3 linked regions of the Lonchura striata genome follow. The protein of the gene in region 1 interacts with the protein of each later gene in a biochemical or structural test. Links are inferred from orthologs where the notes say so. Each region holds a gene or a part of one and is shown in the gene's direction. Other genes may lie near its edges.

Region 1 (7,511 bases):
AAAGTCAATCAGGCAACCCAAAGTTTAATTAGGGAGCCCAAAAGTTCATTAGGGACGCCCAAAGTTTTATCAGGGAACCCCAAAATTAACCCAAAATTTAATTAGGGAGAACCCAAAAGTTAATTAGGGACACCCAAATTTTAATTAGGGACATCCAAAGTTTAATTATAAATTCCTAAAATTTCAATCAGGCAACCCAAAGTTTAATTAGGGAGCCCAAAAGTTAATTAGGGACACCCAAACTTTAATTAGGGACACCCAATGTTTTATTAGGGAACCCCAAAATTTGAAAATTTAAATTTAAGTTAAATTAAATGAAAATAAATTAAATTTATATTTTAAATTTTAAATTTTAACTAGAGAACCCAACATTTAATTAGGGACACAGGAAGTTTAATTAGGGACACCCAAAGTTTAATTAAGGACACCCAAAGTTTTATCAGGGAACCCCAAAATTAACCCAAAATTCAATTAGGGAGTCCACAATTTAATTAGGGACACCCAATATTTAATTAGAGAGCACAAAGTTTAATTATAAATTCCTAAAATTCAATCAGGGAACCCAACATTTAATTAGGAAGCCCAAAAGTTAATTGGGGACACCCAAAATTTAATTAGGGAGCCCAAAGTTTAATCAGGGAACCCCAAACTTCACCCAATATTTAATTAGGGACACCCAAACTTTAATTAGGGACACCCAAATTTTAATTAGGGACACCCAAGGTTTAATTAGGGACACCCAAAATTTAATTAGGGAACCCCAAAATTCACTCAGGGATCCCCCAAATTTTAATCAGGGACACCCAAAATTTAATTAGGGAACCCCAAAATTCACTCAGGGATCCCCCAAATTTTAATCAGGGACCACAAAATTTAATTAGGGAACCCCAAAATTCACTCAGGGATCCCCCAAATTTTAATCAGGGAACCCCAAAATTTAATTAGGGAACCCCAAAATTCACTCAGGGATCCCCCAAATTTTAATCAGGGACCACAAAATTTAATTAGGGACACCCAAAATTCACTCAGGGATCCCCCAAATTTTAATCAGGGACCACAAAATGTAATTAGGGAACCCCAAAATTCAATCAAGGACCCCAAATTCCCTCAGGATCACCCAAATATCCCTCAGGATCCCCAAAATCCCCCTCAGGATCCCCAAAATTCCCTCAGGATCCCCCAAATCCCCTCAAAATCCCCCAAATCCCCTCAGGATCCCCCAAATCCTCTCAAAATCCCCCAAATCCCCCTCAGGATCCCCCAAATCCCCTCAGGATCCCCCAAATCCCCTCAAAATCCCCCAAATTCCCTCAGGGATCCCCAAAATCCCCTCAGGGATCCCCCAAATTCCCTCAGGGATCCCCCAAATCCCCTTAAAATCCCCAAAATCCCCTCAAAATCCCCAAATTCCCTCAGGGATCCCCCAAATCCCCTCAGGATCCCCCAAATCCCCTCAAAATCCCCCAAATCCCCTCAGGATCCCCCAAATCCTCTCAAAATCCCCCAAATCCCCTCAAAATCCCCCAAAATCCCCTTAAAATCCCCAAAATCCCCTCAGGGATCCCCCAAAATCCCCTTAAAATCCCCAAAATCCCCTCAAAATCCCCAAAATCCCCTCAAAATCCCCCAAATCCTCTCAGGATCCCCCAAATCCCCTCAAAATCCCCCAAATCCCCTTAAAATCCCCCAAATCCCCTCAAGATCCCCCAAATCCTCTCAGGATCCCCCAAATCCCCTCAAAATCCCCCAAATCCCCTCAGGATCCCCCAAATCCCCCTCAGGATCCCCAAATCCCCTCAGGGATCCCCAAAATCCCCTCAGGGATCCCCAAAATCCCCTTAAAATCCCCAAAATCCCCTCAAAATCCCCAAAATCCCCTCAGGATCCCCCAAAATCCCCTCAAAATCCCCCAAATCCCCTCAAGATCCCCAAATCCCCTCAGGGATCCCCCAAATTCCCTCAAAATCCCCCAAATTCCCCTCAGGATCCCCCAAATTCCCTCAGGGATCCCCCAAATCCCCTCAGGATCCCCCAAATTCCCTCAAAATCCCCAAAATCCCCTCAGGATCCCCCAAATCCCCTCAGGACACCCCAAATCCCCTCAGAACACCCCAAATTCCCTCAAAATCCCCCAAATCCCCTCAGGGATCCCCCAAATCCCCCTCAGGGATCCCCCAAATCCCCTCAAAATCCCCCAAATCCCCTCAGGATCCCCAAAATCCCCTCAAGATCCCCCAATCCCCTCAGGGTCCGCGGCGTCCCCCCTCACCTCCCGTTTTTGGCTCAGAAAAGCCCCGGAACCGCAGGGATTGGCCCTAAACCACCCCAAAATTCCTCCCGGGAGCCCTCGCGAGCCTTTCCCGGCTCCTCCCCGGCCTCCCCGGCCCCGTTTTTGCCCAATTTTGCCCCAAATTTCCGCCCCCCCCCCGCCGCTTCCCCTTACGGGCTTCCCGCCGAGCCGCGCCTGGACACGCCCCCCGCGCCGCGCCAGCCAATGGGAGCGCGGGGCGGGAAACAGCGAGCCAATGGGAGCGCGGGGCGGGAAACAGCGAGCCAATGGGAGCGCGGGGCGGGAAACAGCGGGGAAGCGGGGTTGATGGGTGAGTGACAGCGGGGATGACCAATAGGAGCGCGGAAATGAGAGACGTCGACCAATGGGAAGCGAGAGGCGGGGCAAAGCCGGCCCAGTGACTCCCAGTTTATCCCAGTGCCCTCCCAGTTCATCCCAGTTTATCCCAGTGCCCTCCCAGTAACTCCCAGTATGGCCCAGTGCCCTCCCAGTTCAAACCAGTGCCCTCCCAGTTCATCCCAGTTTATCCCAGTGCCCTCCCAGTAACTCCCAGTATGGCCCAGTGCCCTCCCAGTTCATCCCAGTTTATCCCAGTACCCTCCCAGTAACTCCCAGTATGCCCCAGTGCCTTCCCAGTTCAAACCAGCGACTCCCAGTTCATCCCAGTAACTCCCTGGGCCTCAAAGGTTCCCAGTACAAACCAGTACAGGGAGGGGAGGACTGGGATGGACTGGGATGGACTGGGATGGACTGGGATGGACTGGGATGGACTGGGATGAACTGGGATGGACTGGGAGGGGACTGGGATGGACTGGGATGAACTGGAATGGACTGGGATGGACTGGGATGGACTGGGAGGGGACTGGGATGGACTGGGATGAACTGGGATGGACTGGGAGGGGACTGGGATGGACTGGGATGAACTGGGATGAACTGGAATGGACTGGGACCAAACTGGGAGGGGGCGGAGCCTTTAAACCTTTAAGGTGGGGCCCACCAGGCTCGGCCTTAAAGGGGCAACGCCCTCTTAAAGGGGCAACGTCTTCTTAAAAGGGCAACGGCTTCTTAAAGGGGCAACGGCTTCTTAAAGGGGCAACGGCTTCTTAAAGGGGCAACGGCTTCTTAAAAGGGCAACGGCTTCTTAAAGGGGCAACGGCTTCTTAAAGGGGCAACGCCCACTTAAAGGGGCAACGTCTTCTTAAAAGGGCAACGGCTTCTTAAAGGGGCAACGTCTTCTTAAAAGGGCAATGGCTTCTTAAAGGGGCAACGGCTTCTTAAAGGGGCAACGGCTTCTTAAAAGGGCAACGACTTCTTAAAGGGGCAACGGCTTCTTAAAGGGGCAACGGCTTCTTAAAAGGGCAATGGCGCCTTAAAAGGGCAACGCCGTCTTAAAAGGGCAACGAGCCCCGCCCATTCCTGGCTTTAATTAGCGCGGCCACGCCCCCAGCTCTTAATTAGCGGCACAAAGGAACCCTAAAAACAACTCCGGGAGGGGCCTGGAAATTCCCAAAAATCTCCCCCCAAAAGCATTCCCCAAAATTCTGCCGGGAGCCCCCCCCCCCCCCCCCAAAAAAAAAAAACAAAAAAAACTGCCCCAAATTCCCAAAAAATTCATCCAGGATTCCCGCCAAAATCCATCCCAAAAAAAAAAAAACAAACCCAAAATTCCCAAAAAAAACCCCATCCGAAACCACTCCCCTCCCCCTTCCAAAAATTCCCCAAAAAATAAAAAAACTCCTCCGCCCCCCCCACCCCCCCCGCGATGACGTCACCGCCAGTCAGCTGACCCCGGTGGGGGGGGGGGTGGGGGAGGGGCTGACCACATCCTGCCCCTCCCCCACCCCCCCCAAAAAAAAAAAAAACCCCAAAAAAAAAAACCCCAAAAAATTTGGGGGCGCCCCTTTGCTCCTCCCGCCCGCCAGGGGGCGCTCACCTTTTTCCCAAAAAAAAACCCCAAAAACCCCCCAAAAAAACCCCAAAAAAAACCCAAAAATCGGGTTTTTTTTGGTTTTTTTTTTTCCCTGCTGGCCCCTCCCCCACCCCAAGCCCCTCCCCCCACCCCCGATTTTTTTTTTTTTTTTTGGGATTTTTTTTTTTTTCCCTTTTTTTTCCCCCTCCCCAATCGCAGCGCCGCTCCCGGAGATGCTCCTGGCGCTCCTGATTTTTTGGGGGGTCCTCCCCCCCCCCGCCGACCCCCAGCCCCGCTTCTCGCCCGAGGTGAGACCCCCCCCCCGGGACCCCCCCAAAAAAACCCAAAATCCGGTGATTTTACCCCAAAAAACCCCAAAAATCCGGTGATTTTACCCCAAAAAACACCGAAAATCCGGTGATTTTACCCCAAAAAAACCCAAAATCCGGTGATTTTATCCCCAAAAAACCCCAAAAATCCGGTGATTTTACCCCAAAAAACACCGAAAATCCGGTGATTTTACCCCAAAAAACACCGAAAATCCGGTGATTTTATCCCAAAAAACACCGAAAATCCGGTGTTTTTACCCCAAAAAACACCGAAAATCCGGTGTTTTTACCCCAAAAAACCCAAAAATCCGGTGCTTTTACCCCCAAAAAAACCCAAAATCGAGGGATTTTACCCCAAATTCCGGCGGGTTACCCCAAGAAACTCCAAAATCCGGCGATTTTAACCCAAAAAAACTCCAAAATCCGGCGGTTTTGCCCCCGAAAAAAATCCCCAAATCCAGCGATTTTAACCCCAAAATCCCCAAAATTCGGTGTTTTTAACCCAAAAATCCCAAAAATCCGGCGGTTTTAACCCAAAAATCCCCAAAATTCGGTGCTTTTAACCCAAAAACCCCCAAAATCCGGCGGTTTTAACCCAAAAAAAACCAAATCCGCGGTTTTAACCCAAAAAAACCCAAAATTCCGCTATTTTAACCCCAAAACCACCGAAAATCCGGTGATTTTAACCCAAAAATCCCCAAATCCGGCGATTTTAACCCAAAAAAACCCCCGAAAATCCGGTGATTTTAAACCAAAAAAAAACCAAAATCCGGCGGGTTTAACCCAAAATCCGGCGATTTTAACCCAAAAAAAACCCCCAAAATCCGGCGGTTTTACCCCAAAATTCCAAGGTTATACCCAAAAAATCCCCAAATCCGGTGATTTTACCCCAAAAAATTCCAAAATCCCACGATTTTAACCCAAAAATTTCCAAAATCCGGCGGTTTTACCTAAAAAAACCCAAAATCCTGTGATTTCACCCCAAAAAAACCCCAAATTATTTTGGTTTTACCCCAAAAAACCCAAAATCCAGAATTTTCACCCCAAAAAACCCAAAATCCGGTGATTTCACCCCAAAAACCCCAAATAATTCCGTTTTTTGCCCAAAATTTGGAATTTTTACCCCCAAAAATCCCAAAATCCGGAGATTTCACCCCAAATTTCCGCGACTTTTTGGGGATGGAAACTCCAAATTTCGGCTCGGGACCCCCAAATTTTGGGTAAAAATCCGCAAATTTTGGTCAAAATCCCCAAATTTTGGGTCGAAATCCCCAAATTTCGGGTCGAAATCCCCAATTTTGGGTCAAAGATCCCCAAATTTTGGGCTAAAATCCCCAAATTTTGGGTAAAAACCCCCAAATTTTGGGTCAAAATCCCCAAATTTCCCCCCTGAACCCCCAAATTTCTCATCGGGACCCCCAAATTTTGGGGTAAAATCCCCAAATTTCGGCTCAGAACCCCAAATTTTGGGTTAAAATCCCCAAATTTTGGGTTAAAATCCCCAAATTTTGGGTTAAAATCCCCAAATTTTGGGGCTTTTTCCTTGCCCGCCCCTCCCCCCCCCGCCACGTCTCCCTCTCGCCCCTCCCCCACCCTTTTTTTTGGGTTTTTTTGGGTTTTTTGGGTTTTTTTGGGTTTGGTTTTTTTGGGGTTTGGGTTTTTTTGGGGGGAAGGCGCCGAAACTTCCGTTTTTTCCCCCAAAAAAATCCCCAAAAATCCCAAAAATCCGCGCGGGGGGGGGGAGGGGCGAGACGTGGCCACCGCCGCCCCTCCCCCCCCTCCCCATTTTCCGCTTCTTCCCCCAAAATTTCCCAAAAATTAAAAAATTTTGGGAAGGGGAGGGGGGGAGGGGCGGCCACGCCCAAAATTGCCCAAAATTTCCAGAATTATCCCCAAAAAAATTCCCAAAAAAGCCGAAAATGACGCCGGGGGGGGGGGGGGGGGGAGGGGGAGGGACCCGGAATTGGATTCGGGAGCCCCAAAAATGCCCCAAAATGCCCCAAAATTCACCCGGGACCCCAAAATTCACCCGGGATCCCCAGAAATGCCCCAAATTTGCCCAAAAATTGCTCAAAATTGCCCCAAAATGGCCCAAAATTCCCCCGGGACCCCAAAATTTCATCCAGAAACTCCAAAATTGCCCAAAATTGCCCCAAAATTGCCCAAAATTCACCCGGGAGCCCCAAAATTGCCCAAAATGCCCCAAATTGCCCAAAAATGCCCCAAAATTGACCTGGGACCCCAAAATTCACCCGGGATCCCCAGAAATGCCCCAAAATTTCCCAAAATTTCCCAAAAATTGCCCAAAATTGCCCAAAAATTGCCCAAAATTCACCCACGATCCCCAAAATTGCCCAAAATTGCCCCAAATTGCCCAAAAATGCCCCAAAATTCACCCAAAATTCACCCGAGATCCCCAAAATTGCCCAAAAATGCCCAAAATCCACCCAGGATCCCCAAAATTGCCCAAAATTGCCCCAAATTGCTCAAAAATGCCCCAAAATTGCCCAAAATTCACCCGGGACCCCAAAATTCATCAAAGATCCCCAAAATTGCCCAAAATTGCCCAAAAATGGCCCCAAAATTTCCCCGGGACCCCAAAATTTCATCCAGAAACTCCAAAATTGCCCAAAAATGTCCCAAAATGGCCCAAAATTCACCCGAGGTCCCCAAAATTGCCCAAAATTGCCCAAAATTGCCCAAAAATGCCCCAAAATTGCCCAAAATTCACCCGGGACCCCAAAATTCACTCGAGATCCCCAAAATTGCCCAAAAATTGCCCAAAAATGCCCCAAATTGCTCAAAAATGCCCCAAAATTTTCCTGGGAACCCCAAAATTGCCCAAAAATTGCCCAAAATTGCCCAAAAATGTCCAAAATTGCCAAAAATTGCCCCAAAAATGCCCAAAATTCCCCCGGGAGCCCCAAAATTTCATCCAGAAACTCCAAAATTGCCCAAAAATGCCCCAAAATTTCACTCGGGA
Region 2 (8,158 bases), on another chromosome or scaffold:
TGAAGCCCTTGGCTCTTTTCACCTGCTGGGGTGGGGCACACCTTTCCTGTGACCTCTGAGCCTGGCCAAGAGAGGGCATTTCCTGCCAAGCAACCAGCTGGCTATGTGGGGGACACTGTGCCCGGCACTGGGCTCAGGGGTGTGGGGTTTGAGGCATGTGGGACAGTCTGATGGTTACGTGCTGACTGAGCCACCTCATGCCATTCTTTCCACCACAGGCTTCAAGGCAGAGTGGCTGGCAGTGAAGGATGAGCACCTGTATGTAGGAGGACTGGGCAAGGAGTGGACCACCACCACAGGGGAAGTGGTGAATGAGAACCCCCAGTGGGTGAAGGTCATTGGCTACAAGGGTGATGTGAGCCACGAGAACTGGGTGACAAACTACAACACACTGAGGGCTGCAGCGGGGATCCGGCCCCCAGGTATGGAGTAGGGCAACCTCCTGCCACCCAATATCCCACACTCTTGATGGCTCCAGAGCCATACAGTCACCCTTCCCAGGGATGCTGGCACTGGGTGAGATTTAGAGGCTGCCAGAGGCCAGAGATCTCACCTTGTCGTGGTCGTTTTCCTCTGCTGCCTGTGCCAGGAGTATCTGAAGGGTGGCTCAGTTGTCATTGGGCCTGGCAGCTGGGCTCCCAGGCAGACTGGGATGTGCTGTGTGGCCCTGCCTGACTCTGGGAGGAACTGGGGAGCTGCTGCCAGGCAGTGGGGCAGGAGCAGGCAAAAAAGTTCATAGGGGATACCTGTGCGGGGCTGTGGGGTGTTTTGGAAGGGAAGGAGGAGAGGAGGGGGAGGGTCCCATCCTGGCGTGGCTGTGCCCCTGTGGTCTGTGTGGTCAGACTCCGCTTCCTGCCGCAGGGTACCTGATCCACGAGTCGGCCTCCTGGAGTGACACGTTGCAGCGCTGGTTCTTCCTGCCGCGCCGCGCCAGCCACGAGCGCTACAGCGAGAAGGCGGACGAGCAGCGAGGCACCAACCTGCTGCTCAGCTCCACCCAGGATTTCGGGGATGTGACAGTGGGGCGCGTGGGCGATGTGGTTCCCACCCATGGCTTCTCCTCCTTCAAGTTCATCCCGGACACGGACGACCAGATCATCGTGGCACTAAAATCTGAAGAGGACAATGGCAAGATCTCCAGCTACATCATGGCCTTCACACTGGATGGGCGCTTCCTCCTGCCTGAGACCAGGATTGGGAGCGTGAAGTACGAGGGCATTGAGTTTATTTAACAGACATCTGCAGCGAGTGGAGGCATGCGGGCAGCTTAGGGACATGGGCAGGCCCTGCAAGCCTGCTTCTAGCCCGGGGTCCATGAGGGATGTCAGGCAGTGCTCCCAGCTGTGTCCTTGGCCCTGGGCTCTCCTGTAAAGTGTTGACTGAGCTGCAGCAGGTGTGGTGCAAGTGTTTCGGCAGTGGCACCTGGTGGCAATGGACCGCCACCACAGGGTGCTCCCGGCCCCGAGACAGTGTCAGGTCCTGGAGTGCTGGTGCCTAGACAGGCCCCACTGCAGCCCTTAGTGCCCTGCCCTGAATTGCGACAGAGCCATCTGCAGTGGGTCGGTGGCTCTGGTGACGTCCCTGTTCTGGGATTGCAGCTGAGCCCCAACTCTACAGCTGTGCCTTGTGTGCCATGGGGCTCCCTGGGTGGAGGGGGATGTGCAGCCTGAGCAGGTCAGATTGTGGGGATTTCATCAGGCTTTTACTTCAGAAGCTGGATTTCCTTCCCTTTTCCCATAAGCTGGATGAGGTGATGGCTGGGGTGGCGGGTGGCCTGTTTCAGAGAAAAGTCCTGCATGGGAGGGGGTATTGTCTGTGTCCCTTTGCTCCTGTGACCACGGAGGAGGCAGCAGTTCCCTCACCACTGTGGCTGTGCCTAAGGGGCAGGGGATGATGTAAAGTGGGCCCACCCTGGCGCCATTCCCAGACCACACCCTCAAGAGGTGTGTGTGCGTGCTGGCTGTCTTCTCCGAGGCCTGGCTGCACGTGGCTCCAGCCCCAGAAATGCTTCCCGCCCCGGAACTGTCAGCTCTGGGAAGAGCTGAGCCCTGGGCAGGAACTGCTGGGAGCTGGCGACAGTGCAGCCATGCTGTCCAAGGGCTGCTGTGCTCGATGCAGGAGCAGAGGCAGGAGCTGCAGTTCTGCTTGCCAGAGCTGGCAGCAGCTGAGAAGCACTCGCAGCAGCCCAGGGCTTTGGCCAGGGAGCCCTCCCCATGCTCGCCAGCATGTTGTGAAATTGCTGCCGTAGCCTGTGGCCCCCAGGAGGAACTTGTGTTGTTTCAGAAGCCACAAGTGTCAAAGGGGCATCTGCTAGCCCCAGGACCCTTCTGACCCCTCTGACCAAGGAGGCTGTGGCTCCTGGCCTGCCCACACTGACCTGGCTCAGGTCTGCCCTGCCCCAGGTCACAGGGCAGCATATCCTCACACCAGGACCAGTGTTTGGCTCTGTTGTGTCCCCACTTTGTTTCTTTTTAACACTGCCCCTAGGGCAGGTCTGCCAGCAAGTAGGGCTTCAGAGAGCTGGCCACTATGGTTTGGGGGGCCCTTGTGCCCCCTGTATCGCTCTGCCATGCCCGGGCACTGCTCTGCTGTGGGGTCCAGCCATGCACAGGGAGGGAGAGGGGCTGTCGGTGCAGCAGTCAGGCTGTGGTTGGGTGGAGGAATCCGCAGAGTGGTTGGGGCCCTCCCAAGAACCCAGCCAGGCTGTTCCCCCCAGCCCTGTTTACAGTGTCAGCACCTCTGTGAGCCGTGCAAGCCAGACATGTGTTTTCATTTAGCCCAGACGATGACTCGGCCAGTGCTGGGCTGCACTTGTCTCTAGACAGGACCTGTCCCCAGTGCTGCAGACAGGCCTGGCTTTGGCCCCTGCACATGGCCTGGGGATCGTGGAGCACCTGGCCCAGAGCACCCAGGATGCATTTGCAGCTCACACTGGGCGCCAGCTGGCCACAGTCCATGATGCCACTCAAGCGTCACTGGCACTTGGCTTGGCAGTCTCTCCTGGCCTCACTCACCCTCCTCAGCAGCACCAACAGCTCCACAGCACCTGCTGTGATCCCAGGGCTGTGCCAGTGGCTGTCCCTGCTACTTGGTCCCTTCTTGTCCCCCGGGCCCCTGCCCGGAGCACTGCACTACCCTCAGAGCAGCAGCACCAATGCCTCAGGCAGCTGAGCCAGCAGGAGTCCTGCTGCTGCTAGGACCTCTGCAGACCATGAGCCCCACAGAGGAGTTGGCAACCTGGGTCCCCATCTCCAGGTGTCATCCAGCATCCCAGCACTGTGAGTGCTGTCAGCTCCCATGTGTTCCCTGCAGGCTCAGGCAGGGTTTGGGTCAGGTCCAGCTGCCCTGTTCTGCTGTTTCTTCTCATCCTAGAGGCTGAGCACCTCTATTATCTCCCTCTACTGCATGGCATGGCAGTGCTGTGGCAAGAGGCTGGCTCAGGAGCATATTTTGTGGCCATGGTGGTGTCTGTCCTGCCAACATATGCCCTTGCCTAGCTGTGCTTGAATGCTTGTGTCCCTGCCTGCTCCTCTAGGACAAAGGCAGTGCTGGTGAGATGGAGCACTCTCAGCAGCCAGCCAGGCACAGAGTACAGTGACAGCAGCAGCATCCTGACACCTCCACAGTGACACAGTGAGTGGGTTTGGACTGGGGTAGTCCGTTTTTCCATATTAGATGTGTAATATGGTGTAGGACAGTGTTTTGGATTTGTGTTTGGAACAGGGTTGATAACAGCAATGTTTTCATTACTGCTGAGCAGCATTTTCACAGCTTGAGGCCTTGTTCTGCTCTTCATCCCAGCAGTGAGGGGCCGGTGGGGGGCACAAAGAGTCGAGAGGGGACACAGAAGAGCTGACCCAAAGGCTATTCCACACTGTATGGAATCATACTTGGCATATAAAGCTGGGGGAAGAAGGAGGGAAAGGGGGACATTTGGAGTGGTGGTGTTTGTCTTCCCAAATCACCATCACATGCTGGAGCCCAGCTGCCCTGGGGATGGCTCAGCACCTGCCTGCCCTGGGGAGGGGTGAAAGAATTCCCTGCTTTGCTTTGCTTATGTGTGGCTTTTGCTTCACTTTTATCTCAGCCAGCAGTTTTCTCACTTTCCCCTTCCCAGTTCTCTCACTACCCCGCTGGGAAGAACGAACCAAAAGCAGCTGGGGGCTGAGCTGCCCGCTGGGGTTAAACCCCATCATGCATCCAGGATAGAGACAAGGTGGGTTTTTGGAGCTGTGCTCCAGGGCAGGAGCTGCTGCCATGGAGAGAGGCCCGAGGCCTGGGGCAGGTCGCTGTGGCACAGGACCCCCAGTGGAAGCAGGCAGGGGAACTCGGGTGTGGGATAAGCTAGGGTGGAGGGGCCGAAGGTGGGGAGGAATTCTCGTGCACAGCCAGAACTGATGCCTGTCCGACCGTCAGTTGGTCGGACACTGCTCTACTACGGGCGGGGGTCCGGGGCGGCGGGTCCAGGAGCGATGGAGCCGGGGGCTGGCGGGATGCGCCGGGGCGGGGGCGGCCGGTGCCCGCGGCGGGGGCCGTGCCGGGGCGGGAGCAGCGGTAGCGGCGAAGCCGCATCCCGCGGAGGGCGGGCGCAGCCGGGCTGGCCCCGCGCCACGCGGAGGAGGAGCAGCAGATCCCCGGAGCACGTTAAAGAGGGAGGCCGAGCGCGGCGGGGAGGAAGCGAACGGCTCCGGGAAGGCAACGGAGCGGCGGCCGCAGAGCGCCCGCCCCGGCCGGACCCAAGTTCCCGGCGGCGGCTCGGCCGGGCCCGGCGGTGGGTGCGGGATCGGGGCCGGGTGGCCGCGCCCGCAGCCCCGCACCATGCCCGCCGCGCTGCCCAGCCTGCTGGCCTGGCTGGCGGTGTTGCTGCTCGGCAGGGCCCGCCCGGCCGACGCCTGCAGCTGCTCGCCCATCCACCCGCAACAGGCCTTCTGCAACGCCGACGTAGGTGAGCGCCGCGGGGAACCCCGCCCCGAGCCCCCCGAGCCCCCCCGGCCCCGCCCGCGCCAACTTCGCGGCGGGGGAAGGACCGGAAAGTTGGCGCGGGGCGGGCGGGGAGCGGGCAGAGCCCCCCGGCCCCCGCCCGCGGCGCCCGCCGGCCCGGGGGTGTGTCGGCGGGTGCAGATGCGCGGCCGGGCGCGGTCCCTCCGTGCGGGCCATGCCCGTCCCACCCCGCACCGCCTCCCGCCGTCTCGGGGGGCCTCCCGCGCCCGGCATTGCTCCCGGGGGCGCCTCCGACGCTGCGAGGGGCGACCGGAGCGCGGCTACGCCGGGGCCGCGTCCCCACTGGTCGCTCTCCGGTGAATGACACGGGTGGGCCCGGCCTCCCCCGACTCTGATGACCCAGCGAGGTACGTGGCAGCGCGGGGTTGGGGCCCGGGGGCGACCGGGACCCTCCGAGTGCGGCCACGGCACCGGCCCGGGGCCCGGAGGAGCCCCTGTCCCTGGCAGCTGCCGCCACGGCTCGGTCACCCCTGTCTGTGCCTTACTTCCAGGCATTTCCTTTCCCCCGTCCCACTTTGTTCGGCTTGGATGCTGCTAAAAGGGAGGGCTTGGCAGCGCCGGGGTCTGGATTCCTCTTTCTATGAATAATGCCCTTATTAAATTTTAACATATGAACTGAACAGGCCGGCCCCAGTTCCCAGCACTTCCCTTCGCGGGCCCGTTCCCAGGCTCAGCTGGAGAGGTAACATTCCCAAACACTGAGGCAGCCCCAGCCTCTGGATGGCCCTGCCCTGTCCCCTGCTCCAGATCCAGGATGTTCCTCACAGGCGTCCTTTCCAGACCCCACTCCCAGCGTCTTTCCTCCGTGAGGGCAACTCCCACAGCATTTGGCTGCTGCCTCGGGTGCCCTGCCTCGCCACAAGGCGTGTTGGGGACAGGAAGGTTTTGAGACAAAATGGAGCGCTGGGTTTTTGTAGCTGCTGCTGGAGCTGGTGTCCCTAGCCCACAGGATGTCTTGTGCCTGCTCGGGCAGTGCGGCTGTGGCTTCCCATCACGCTCCTGTCAGGATCAGTTTTCGGGGCACTCGTGACTCACTGCCCGTCGTGGGGTGCCGGCTCAGCCCTGACTCAACTGCTGAGTCACTGTCTGTCTCGGCGGTCCTGGCTGTCTGCACCGTCCCCCGGGAGGGCACTGCCTCGCTGAGCTTTGATCTCCAGCTGCCCTGCTGCCCTCAACAGGTGCCCGTCCTGCAGGCACCCGGAGCCTGTCCTGCCGAGGCAGCGTCCTCCCAGGCGCGCTGCCAGCAGCGCTGGCACCTTCTGGCTGCCAGCCCAAGTCACTTGTGCAGCTTCACGTCGGCCTGAGTGAAAACAGTGCTGGGCTTGGGGACATATCAGGGGATGGTCCTGTGTGCCCTGGCCTTTTGCTGCTGCTTATCTTCCTCCTGGATGCTCTCTGGAGTTGGGATGTTCCTCAGCCAGTTCCATTCCAGCAGATGTGTGGAGCCTAGGAGAACCTGGGCCCCTGGTACTGCTAGGACCTTTTGCAGCTGCTGTGGCTGGACAGACTTGTGTCCAGGTTGGGCCCTTGCTAGAAATGTGGTGGTGTGGGGATGGCTGATGTCCTGCAGTGCTGGGTGGGTACACCAAAAGTGAATGGGCCCCAAGGCTTATGCTCAACCCTCAGTATGGGGTATCATGCTGAGCACAGTGTGGGGTCCTGGGATCTCCTCTCCATAGCATGGGCAGCACCTGCCTCATCCCCGTGACCCCTCTGGCCTTGCACCTGCCCCTGCACTTGGTCTGTCATGCAGGGGCTGGAGCAGCCCCACAGCCCAGGGCTGCACTTCCAGGTGGTGCAAGGGGAGGTAGATGTAGCTCTGCATTGGGTGGGTGGCACCTGAGGGGCTGGGGGTCATAGAGGGGCTGGGGTTGTGTCACTGGGGCGGGTGATTTAGAACCTGCCAGCCTGTGCTTGCATGTCCTAGCTCATGAGATGACCAGGGCTTTTCTGCAGGGCCCAAGGACTTGGGGCTGCCCCATCCACCATCCCTCACTGGGGCTGTGCCCAGGCTCTCTTGGGCTGCTTTGCTGCAGGAGATGCTCAGCTGCCCGGTTGTGCTACAGCAGGAAACCCAGCTCCTGCTCCATCTCTTCTGGAGCAGCGTGGGGATGTGGGGTGTGAGAGGGGGATGCTGAGCCCTTCTAGGCAAAGCTGTGGCTTTGCCCCTGCGAGGCAGCAGGCAGAGGATGGGGCCAGGAGAGAGCGGGGCTCGGTGCAGCCTGGGCTGGGGACAGCTGGATTGCACTGATCCCAGTCGTCCCTGTGCTCGGTTCCTCGGGACGGGCACGGTGAGTGTGGGGGCTGCCAGCAGCCAGCAGGGACCGGCCAGAGGAGGGGATTTGCAGGGCCGTGGTGGGAGCTGTCCCCGCGGGGGTGCAGCTGCCTGCAAACCCCGCCGAGCCTGGCGGGGCCGGTGCCCGTGCCCGGTGCCCGGTGCCGGTGCCCGGTGCCGGTGCCCGGTGCCCGGTGCCGGTGCCGGTGCCCGTGCCCGGTGCCCGTGCCCGGTGCCGCCCTGCCGAGCGCTGGCGCGGAGGGGCCGTGGGCCGAGGCGGGGGCTGCCGCTGATTGGGCTCCATCAGCTCCCGTCAGCGGCCGGGATGACGCACGCGGCCACGGCGGCGCTCGGCCCGCGGCTCCCGCGCAGCCCGGCGGGGAGCGGGACCTGCTGCCCGCGCTGCCTCTCGCCGCCCCGCAGGCACTGCCGGCCACCAGGGAGTCTCCACGGCCTTCGCTTCCTCCTCGCTGCCGGGCTGCGCTGCTCAGCCCTGCACGCCTCCAGCCTCAGCATCCTCACACCACTGTGCCGGGGCGGGGTGCCAGCCGCGGCGGCCGCTGGCGGGCGGGCGGGCACTGGGATGCCAGCAAACACCTGGGAGGTGGCTGTTGCCCTTGCGCCGGTCAGGGCTGGGTGCAGGAATCCCTCCCAGGGTGGTTAGCTGTCTCCCCATCTCCACTGGCCTCAAGCAGGGCTGGAGTGACTGCCCTCACCAAGGTCAGGTGCCCGGGCTGGCAGTGCCAGGCAGGCAGCAGGCAGTGCTGGCATTGGCAGCCAGCCCCTCTGCTGCCAGCTGCCCTGGAGAAGGGAGCTTTGTTCTCTGGGCATCCAGCCTAGCAGTGGCCCCTGCTGTCCGTGGGCACTGGCGCTGCCCGGGCA
Region 3 (8,472 bases), on another chromosome or scaffold:
TTTTATGGACCTGGGAATACCAGAACACTGATGTGGTGTTACTGTTCATGGATTTTAAATAGGTAAGTGCTGTCTCTTCATCAAGGTTCTTAATCTGCCACCAGTCCTAGGGAAAATAATGTAAAAATCTCACACAGCATTCAGGAGGTAATGAACTAAGTGACAGCTAAGACAGCTAATTTCAAAATAAATACTAATAGGTAGCCAATGATTGCCATGGATTTGTCCAAGGTGCTTCATTTTAGAAATGACAGTGGGAAGTATTTTTAAAAGCTGCATATTAAGTGGCTCCCAAACTGTCCCACTGTCATGGCAAAGACGAATTATGACTTAGGGGATCTGTTTAACTCCAAGGTCACATAAACTAGCAGAAGGACGAATGCTATATTATTGTTGTACAGCAGAATCCAGATGTTTTAACATCTCTTCTGACCTTAAGCTGTAGTGATCTGAATGCAAACTGACATTGATAATGCTTAGATTCTGGGAAGGTGTTTAGCATCCAATGATTTTCAAATGAAGTGTATGTTAATACAACATTAGCATATACAAATAATAGGTGGTAAACTAAGTTGACCAAGTCCAACTTTTCCATTCATTATCTGTACTGTTTACAATACAGAAATACAGACATGTTGCTAAAATTTTTACTTGTAACCACAATGTACCCACAAATTCAACAGCTCCTTGAGATACTCTTAGATTCTTTACATTAGGAATCATTTGAATTGTCTCATGCTCCAAGGCCACCTAATTTTCTATTATACATGGATCAGCAGATTTTAAATGTTATGATAAAACCTACAGGATATATTAAGAAGTCTGGTTTAAAAACAGACTCTTGCCCTCATGTTTAGTCCTCATCAAAAAGAAAAGTTTTGATCAAACTTTGGATCAGCTCAAAGAAATTTTGCTGTTGACTATTTGAATCAAATCAAAAACAGTCTGAAAAGCAACAGAGAGGAGAATAACACTACTAGAATATAGACACTATCGGCTTTGAAGCAAAACAGTCTTTCAGAAGGACAAAAACAAGGATTTGTGCTAACTAAAATATCTGTTGCGGTCTGCTAATAGGTTGTAACACTGTTACCATTTTTGTAAGTTTCCGTAGCTGGTATTTCCTTTTTAGGAGAAAGGAAAAGAAGGATTTGGATCACCACAAATTTTGTAATGCTTATAGTATGTGCTCTAACACTTTCCATTCAACATGTAAGTCCAGTGTAGAGGCTGAAAAAAAAAAAATTCAATTAGGATGAAGAATGGAAGTTTTCAGATGAAAAAAATAAGCACCTACAACCTTCAGAACCTGGAATTAAATTGTTTTTAGTAGAACACATTAAATATGAGTCAGTCTTCAGTAATATTTTCAAAATGCTCCAGAGTTTTACAGAAATACTTAACTAATTGTTCCTGGAGATATGTGCCAATGTCATATTTTTGTTTATTCACCATATGTAGGCTAACAGGCTGTATAATTAGAGGCATAGAAAACATCATATATAAACATTATGTTGCCTCTTTAAGTGACTTGCTGCATGGTGTCCATGGAACAGCCTTTTCCCTTAATGGAGGTTTCTTAACCCCTGCTGTGGGCAGCCAAATAAAATGAGCTAACCTTCATTTAATCTTGAGAGTAATATTTAATTTAAATTCTGAGTGATCAGAGGAAAACCACCATTGTTAATTTCATGTGGCAGTGTGAAAAGTTCCACAAGGAATTTTTCTGGAGCTTTATCTTCCCATGTCAATAATACCTTAGTCCTGCTACTGGGTACCCAATTCTCTTGGTTCTGTGTTCCAGATGTGTGCACAGGTTTAAGGTGAAAATAAAACATCAGTTGGTTTAGATAGTATCTATTAAGCTTTGGTAACCTAAGTCTTTTGGGGAAAAGGGTATTAAATCCAAATTGATTGTGAGGCACTTCCATTTATGCAGAAGTGCAAAGAAGCTATAAAGAAGGCATTTTTGCAAGAGAGAAAAAGAAGAGAGGGTATCACTGATGAGTGTAGAAACAAAATGATGACACTGTAACTTGACAATATTTGACAGCTAGATCTCAGCCAGTGCAAATTTACTTGCAGTGAGCCCTGCTTTCAGATTCTTTCATTACAACCCATTAGACTTGGCGCATCTCCAGCCATGAAAATATGAATTAAAAAAAAAAAAAAAAAATCACAAAGGAGCTTTGTATTACATAAAAGAAATATTTCTATTCATAATCACAAGTCAAAGAAAATTAGATTATAATAGCTTTTGATCATATTTCCCATCGGAGAAAGATGAATAATTAAGGTACAAAAGAAAACAAATTTTGAAGAAAAACTGCAACACAGTAGTTGTAAAGATGAAATATTAATATGTCCTGACATCATCAGGATGAAGCATATTCATAACCAGTTTACAACTTCGATGACACAGGTGAATTTATATATTATTTTGTGTATTCCTTGGAAATTAGCTAGACTTCATTCACATGCTGTTTAATGACTTCTGAGAGCTACAAAAAGAACTACTGCACAGAATACAAAATAGGACCAGAAACAAAGAAATCACCCAACCACAGTCCCACCCTCTGTTGCAGAAGAAGCAATACCTTTATTTGCTGGGTTGTAGTACCTACCTGCTCTCCCAAACAGGTTTATGAGGTGATAGCTCCATGAGTTAGAACAGTAAGATTTGGAAAAGCATAAAAATTATGCCAAAGGGCAGTATTAAATACAGATTGGAGAGACAATAAAAATCTTATTAAAAGGGAAAGAAAATCTATTGTTTTTTATCTTAACCTCAGAAGGTATGTGATTCTTCATCTTGACTGTGCAATTTCCATAGTTAATTTAAAACAGTCAGCAAGACAGGAACTATATGAATGAACAAGTCTCAGCTGAACTTTATGTGACCCAAGCTTTTACTATGTTAATTTCAAAATATGCTTGCTTAATAAGTTTTGTAAGCTAAAAAGATATGCATGTTTTGTATTTCTGTTATCAGAGTGTGAAAAAGGATGTATACTTGATATACAGAAAAACTGGTTCATAAATACAACTGTGCCAAAAGCATATTAAGCCTGGATTATCTTGTACTTGCAGACAATGTTCAATTCTATTTGTACTGCAAATGCAAAACTATAGTTATTACTGAGGGATCAAAATATACATTAATTTATCATAATATTTGGCTTTTCCTTCTAAACAAATCTATAGTCAGAGAAAGCACAATTAATGTCTTTCCTGTGATTTTTAAATTCTCTTTACAAATACTATGCTCCATTGCTCACCTTGTTATGTATTCTTCCATAGAGCAAATATTGATATTACCTTAAAGGTTATCTCTTTCTGCATGAAAAATATTTTTTTATTCCAACTGATCTCTTGCTAAGTGTTGCTTGTTGCTACATTTGCTGTCAAGTCACAGTTGAGGTTTCCTTGGTCAACTAAAGCTAATGAAGTAGTTTTCAGATAAATATCATTCTGTGTATGAGAAACCCCATCTGGTCTCCATTTGTCTACATGCAGAACAACAGGAGCTTTGTCCACTTCTACATTTCGAGTCCTAATACCATGCAGTTTTTCACTTAGATTAATTCACTATTGTAATCCCACTGCTTCACATTCACTTTTTGGCACCAATCAAGCAGTAATGCAGTAACAATCTGTCACCAGCGTGTTTCCCAGAGTGTAAATGGTTCTCTAACACCAGGGAACTTCAAAAGCATAACATTGCACTGTGTTGAGCAAATTGTTTGCTAATTGGGGCATTGCAGAAGCACAGAGGTCTTTAAGTGTTTGTTCTCTTTCCTGTTATTGGTGAAGGACACTGGCTTTTCCCTGCTCCCAGTAGCCTTCACTGCTCTGGAGACTGAGACACATCAGCAGCAAATTTTGGGAGAAGCTCATATTCAGGCTTCTCTTCAGCAAACTGATAGGGTTCTCCAGCCCAGACACATTCTGTACTACCATTTTTCATAAAGATAATAAGTTGAAAATGGACAAAATCTCTGACTTTCTACCCCAGAAATTACAGTCAAATGCAATTAAACACACAAGACACTTTAAAATGGCTTGTGAATGCTTTCTATATGCACATTTGACATTTGTCCCTACCCAAATCTATAAAAAAAATTATGTTTCTCATAAAAAGGAAGACATCCTCCATTTAGAGATAAGGGAAAGTTCTTATGGAAGCATTAAGTTCCACTTTAAACTGTTATTTTATGAATATATTATTTTTCTACATAGCCTGGTGAAAGTAACATCTCATCCAAGCATTAAGATGCATTCTTGAACTACATCCATGGAATAAGAAACAGACAACATAAAGCTGAGTAGTTCCAGATACTGAGAAGCAGGAGAAAACTGTAAGTGCAAAATGAACAAATGTATGGAGTGAATTTACAGTAACTGCTCAAAACCCATTCCTGGGATGTATCTTTATTAAACAAACACACATTCAACCACCAAAGAAAATCTCCAGACCAAATCAATTTCACCGATTTGTAGAAGAATCTTTGAACTCAGTATGTAATGTGGAAAAGGGTATGATTCAAAGATAATTTTGAATCTGATCCTTAGGCTAAAGTTTTCATTAAGGATATTTTACTGTGGTCATAAGACAGTTAAAGAAAAAGGCAGAAAATGAATGAGTCACTTGGCTGAAGAAGAACAGCAGCATTGAGGTCTGAGTGCTATGTGTTAGCTCATGTCTAGCAGTATAAAATAAGTTGGAAAACAAAAGCCTGTTTGCAATTTATTTTACAAAATAACACGTTTTCTCTCTAAAATAAAAAAAAAAATCTTGTATAAACCTATGGCTTTTTAACTTTCTCAGGTTTGTGAAACATCATTCTCTGATCCCACAGGAGAAACTGATGGGTTGTCCTTGCACAAAATATGGTATCCACCTGCAGTTCATTAGAGAGCTGCATTTTTGTACATGCCACACCACAAGATCACCATGATGACATAGCAGCTTCAGAGAACAGCGTGACTAGGGCTTTTTTTTTCCCTCTTGTAACACAGAGGATCTGGCAGACTTTTACCTCCTGACACTGTTTAGAGCATATATTGGTCGATACAGCCTCTTATTGCATCTGCTCTGGGAATTAAGGAAAGCAGCTACAAGGCAGTAAGGTAAGTGCTGCTGCATGCTTTAACCGTAATGTTCAGCTGTTTAAATGTAGCTGCAATGGGAACATGAAAACATGACAGGATAAGTTTGCCAATTTGTAAATTGAGCACAAATCAACAGTTTCACTGTCGATTCACTTTCTTAGTTTCCTTAAAACAGCTTCACATATTTTGTACATCAGTGTTGCAGTTTTTTACAGTCTGTTTTGTTCTACATCAGAATAAGATTTGACATACAGTACAAAGAAGTTTGTAAGAGTACTCAGTGTTTATTTTTCCATTCATAATAGTGAGAGCTTCATAAACCCCATTTGCTAAATCATTTTGCTTCATTCTAGAAAAAGACAACGTATCCTGATATTTAAATAATTAATCACATAAACAATGAGAGGGAAACACTAGGTATTTTTTAAATTTCTAATCAGTTTTAAAGCATATTTTAAATACACCAGTGAAACTTTAAAAAAATACAGTCTTTTGCAAACTGTATAAGAAGTTAAAATACAGAATTAAAGTTGATTGACTCTTAATTTTATATTTATTTTGTTTTACAATAACTTAATGATTAAGGAAATATAGACAAGATCAAACATAGTTTGAATAGGATTTCTACATTAATGTAGCAAATATTTTCCCAAAATCATGGATTTACCATATAATATGTTCTGGCAAGTTGCCTGAGCAACTTCACAAATATTTTCACAGTTATTTTGCAACACAACTCTTTAGAACAGGCACAGGCAATTAATTAAAACATGTTTATGTTGTAAGATAAACATCAAAGAATGTATTCTGATTTTATAGTTTGGATTTATGTAGTTCAGTGCAACAAACACGCATGATCTATTAACCTTTTACACTTCTGACAGTGAGACATTCAGATACCTGAATGAGAAATGCATTAATATAACAAGTTAAATAAATTTCCTATTTACTTTGCAATTTTATATCACACAGATGCCCATATGCCCTTTAACTACAGAATTGTCACATAAATTCTAAAATCTTTTGATAAATTTACTCAAAACACTTGCTATCAAACATTTTTAGTTACTTCTAGGGTTCTGCAGAGCAGTAAAACTTTATACTCTAAAGGACAGTAAGACTATGATAACAATAATGAAACTTAGCATTACAGATATTATTTTAAACTAGAAGAAAAATAGAATTTTAATTTAAAATGTCTATGTTATTTTAAAACTATAAAATTAAGGAGTTGTGTAAAAAATGTCACTATAAGGCCAAAGAATGTAGTCCAAGGAGTTCATTACCCTCTTTTTATACTTTGAATACAGAATTACTTGATTTCTTTTCTTTAGTGTTTAGTACCTAAACAGGACTGGATTTTGAGATGAATTGTCTTACTTCAGTCTTTGCTTTCAGATGAGCTGTACTTATTTATACCAGCAGGGGTCTAAAGGTTGAGCTCATATTTATGTTGTATGTTCTCACGCAGTAATGAAAAACAGGCAAAGAAAATTACACTGACAACTAATATTTTGATGATTATCCTAGGGTTTGTAATTAGGTAAATGTGATGGGACCAACACCATGGAGATGATATGCAATCAGATTCCTTTTTCAGGGAACAGCAGCTTAATATCTAGCAGTAGGACTTTATGGGTTATTCAGTGGAGGTAACATTAAAACATTTTTTAAAAAGACTTTGTACTGTACTGCATGAGATCAATAGGCCCTGCCTAGAGATGCTTTAAATGAGATTGTTATCTCACTAGAATATGATGTGGCTTTTAAGAAGCCAATAGAAGCAAAGACATTTAGAATTATAGAAAATTTTGTAGCTATGGCCCTGCACTTTCTCTGTGTAACAATTCCAATAGCAAGACTAACTTACTCTGCTGGAAGACTGCCCAGATCTGAGATCAATGTCTTGTGCTCTGTTTACAGGCTTCACATACTTTCTGAAATTCCTTGAGAAAAAAAAGGTTTTAAGGATTTTCTTAATCCTCTCATTCTCTGAACAGTAGTTGAGTACTTGTAGCCTTGTCTTTTACTACTGAAAATCAAAGTAAGCTCCCTGACCTTATTGATTCTAGACCTACTTTTCCAGGAGAACATATATCTAGCCAGTAAGAAGTATAAACAAGACACAAGTCTTCACAGATTAATTGGCATCTTGTGGAGTGCCTGATGAGAAAGCTGTGGCCTTTAAGTGTCAAGTCACCTCACAAAGGACACCGAATGTCCTTTTGCTGTATGTGAACTGAAAAACAAATAATGTAAAGCCAGTGTTTCATTGTTCAATTAATTTACAATGGGCATAAAATGTAACCAACACCTTTGATGTATAGAGAATTTGCAAGAACATTTTCACTATCTGAAATTCAGTAATTTCAAGTCCACTGTCAGATTCAGTCATTTCAGATCCACTGCACACATATGTAATACTAGTTGGCTGGCATGTTAGAGATAATATACTTTACAGTCCTATTCATTTGTTCTTTAGGTGACTATGAAATTTGTGGACCATGCTTTACAGACCATAATCCATGAGAAAAAGAGTTTTCAAGCCACACACATCTTAACAACACACAATGCATGAGAGCATTACCCTCAGTTTTAATTTCCCTGTCTCTTTCAAACTTAAATAGCCACATGTTTAGAAATGAGACAATTCAGCACATTAGGAATGTTTGGTAGAATTTAAATGGTGGCACTGTCTCTGAAAGTGGCCTTCAGCAAAACTGAAAACTTCTGTGGCAAGTTTAAAAACCCTGTACTTCATCATCTGTATTGTAACTTAATCAATGAATGCATAAAAATATAAAAAAGTTTTACTTACAACAGCAAAATGGCCAAAAAATTTGCATTGCAAAGGAAGATTATACACCACAGGGACAGTAACATAGTATTAACAATGTAATGCTAACAACTCAATTTTGTTTTCTTAACTAAAAACTTTAAATAGAACCATAATTAGTTTTTAAATATAATCTTTATATGGTAAAATTTCAAATATTGCTGAGAGATTTAAAAACTAATGTTATATCCTGTTTATTCCTTTTCACCATACAGGGACAAGACACATTAGAAAGATGGGTTTAAACTCCCTAGCTGTCTTTCTGCTGTTGATTGGTGGCAGTTTCTGCTGGAGTGATTATGGTCCTGGAGATGATTATGGTTATGATCCTTTTGGGCCATCTGCAGCAGTCTGTGCCCCAGAATGTAATTGTCCTTTAAGCTACCCTACTGCCATGTATTGTGACAATCTTAGGCTGAAAACCATTCCAATTGTACCAAGTGGGATAAAATACCTTTATCTTCGAAACAACATGATTGAGGGAATTGAGGAGAACACATTTGACAATGTAACAGACCTACAGT

The links.
Region 2: the proteins of MMP14 (region 1) and TIMP2 form a complex in vitro, tested with the Homo sapiens proteins (2 studies listed by BioGRID). The link is inferred for Lonchura striata from reciprocal best matches to the Homo sapiens genes MMP14 and TIMP2.
Region 3: the proteins of MMP14 (region 1) and LUM interact in a biophysical measurement, tested with the Homo sapiens proteins (2 studies listed by BioGRID and IntAct, with this or other methods). The link is inferred for Lonchura striata from reciprocal best matches to the Homo sapiens genes MMP14 and LUM.

What each region holds. Positions count from the first base shown.
Region 1 is NC_134641.1:805,176-812,686, reverse strand, and holds the start of MMP14 (matrix metalloproteinase-14), read left to right. Parts: upstream 1-4,383; 5' UTR 4,384-4,432; coding exon 4,433-4,507; intron 4,508-7,511.
Region 2 is NC_134621.1:11,747,968-11,756,125, forward strand, and holds the start of TIMP2 (metalloproteinase inhibitor 2), read left to right. Parts: upstream 1-4,629; 5' UTR 4,630-4,818; coding exon 4,819-4,945; intron 4,946-5,170; exon of another isoform or gene 5,171-5,335; coding exon of another isoform or gene 5,336-5,348; intron 5,349-8,158. Other genes in the region: CANT1 (soluble calcium-activated nucleotidase 1), read left to right, coding at 219-422, 862-1,232. UniProt on the Homo sapiens protein: Complexes with metalloproteinases (such as collagenases) and irreversibly inactivates them by binding to their catalytic zinc cofactor. Known to act on MMP-1, MMP-2, MMP-3, MMP-7, MMP-8, MMP-9, MMP-10, MMP-13, MMP-14, MMP-15, MMP-16 and MMP-19.
Region 3 is NC_134607.1:52,798,650-52,807,121, reverse strand, and holds the start of LUM (lumican), read left to right. Parts: upstream 1-4,941; 5' UTR 4,942-5,130; intron 5,131-8,163; 5' UTR 8,164-8,183; coding exon 8,184-8,472.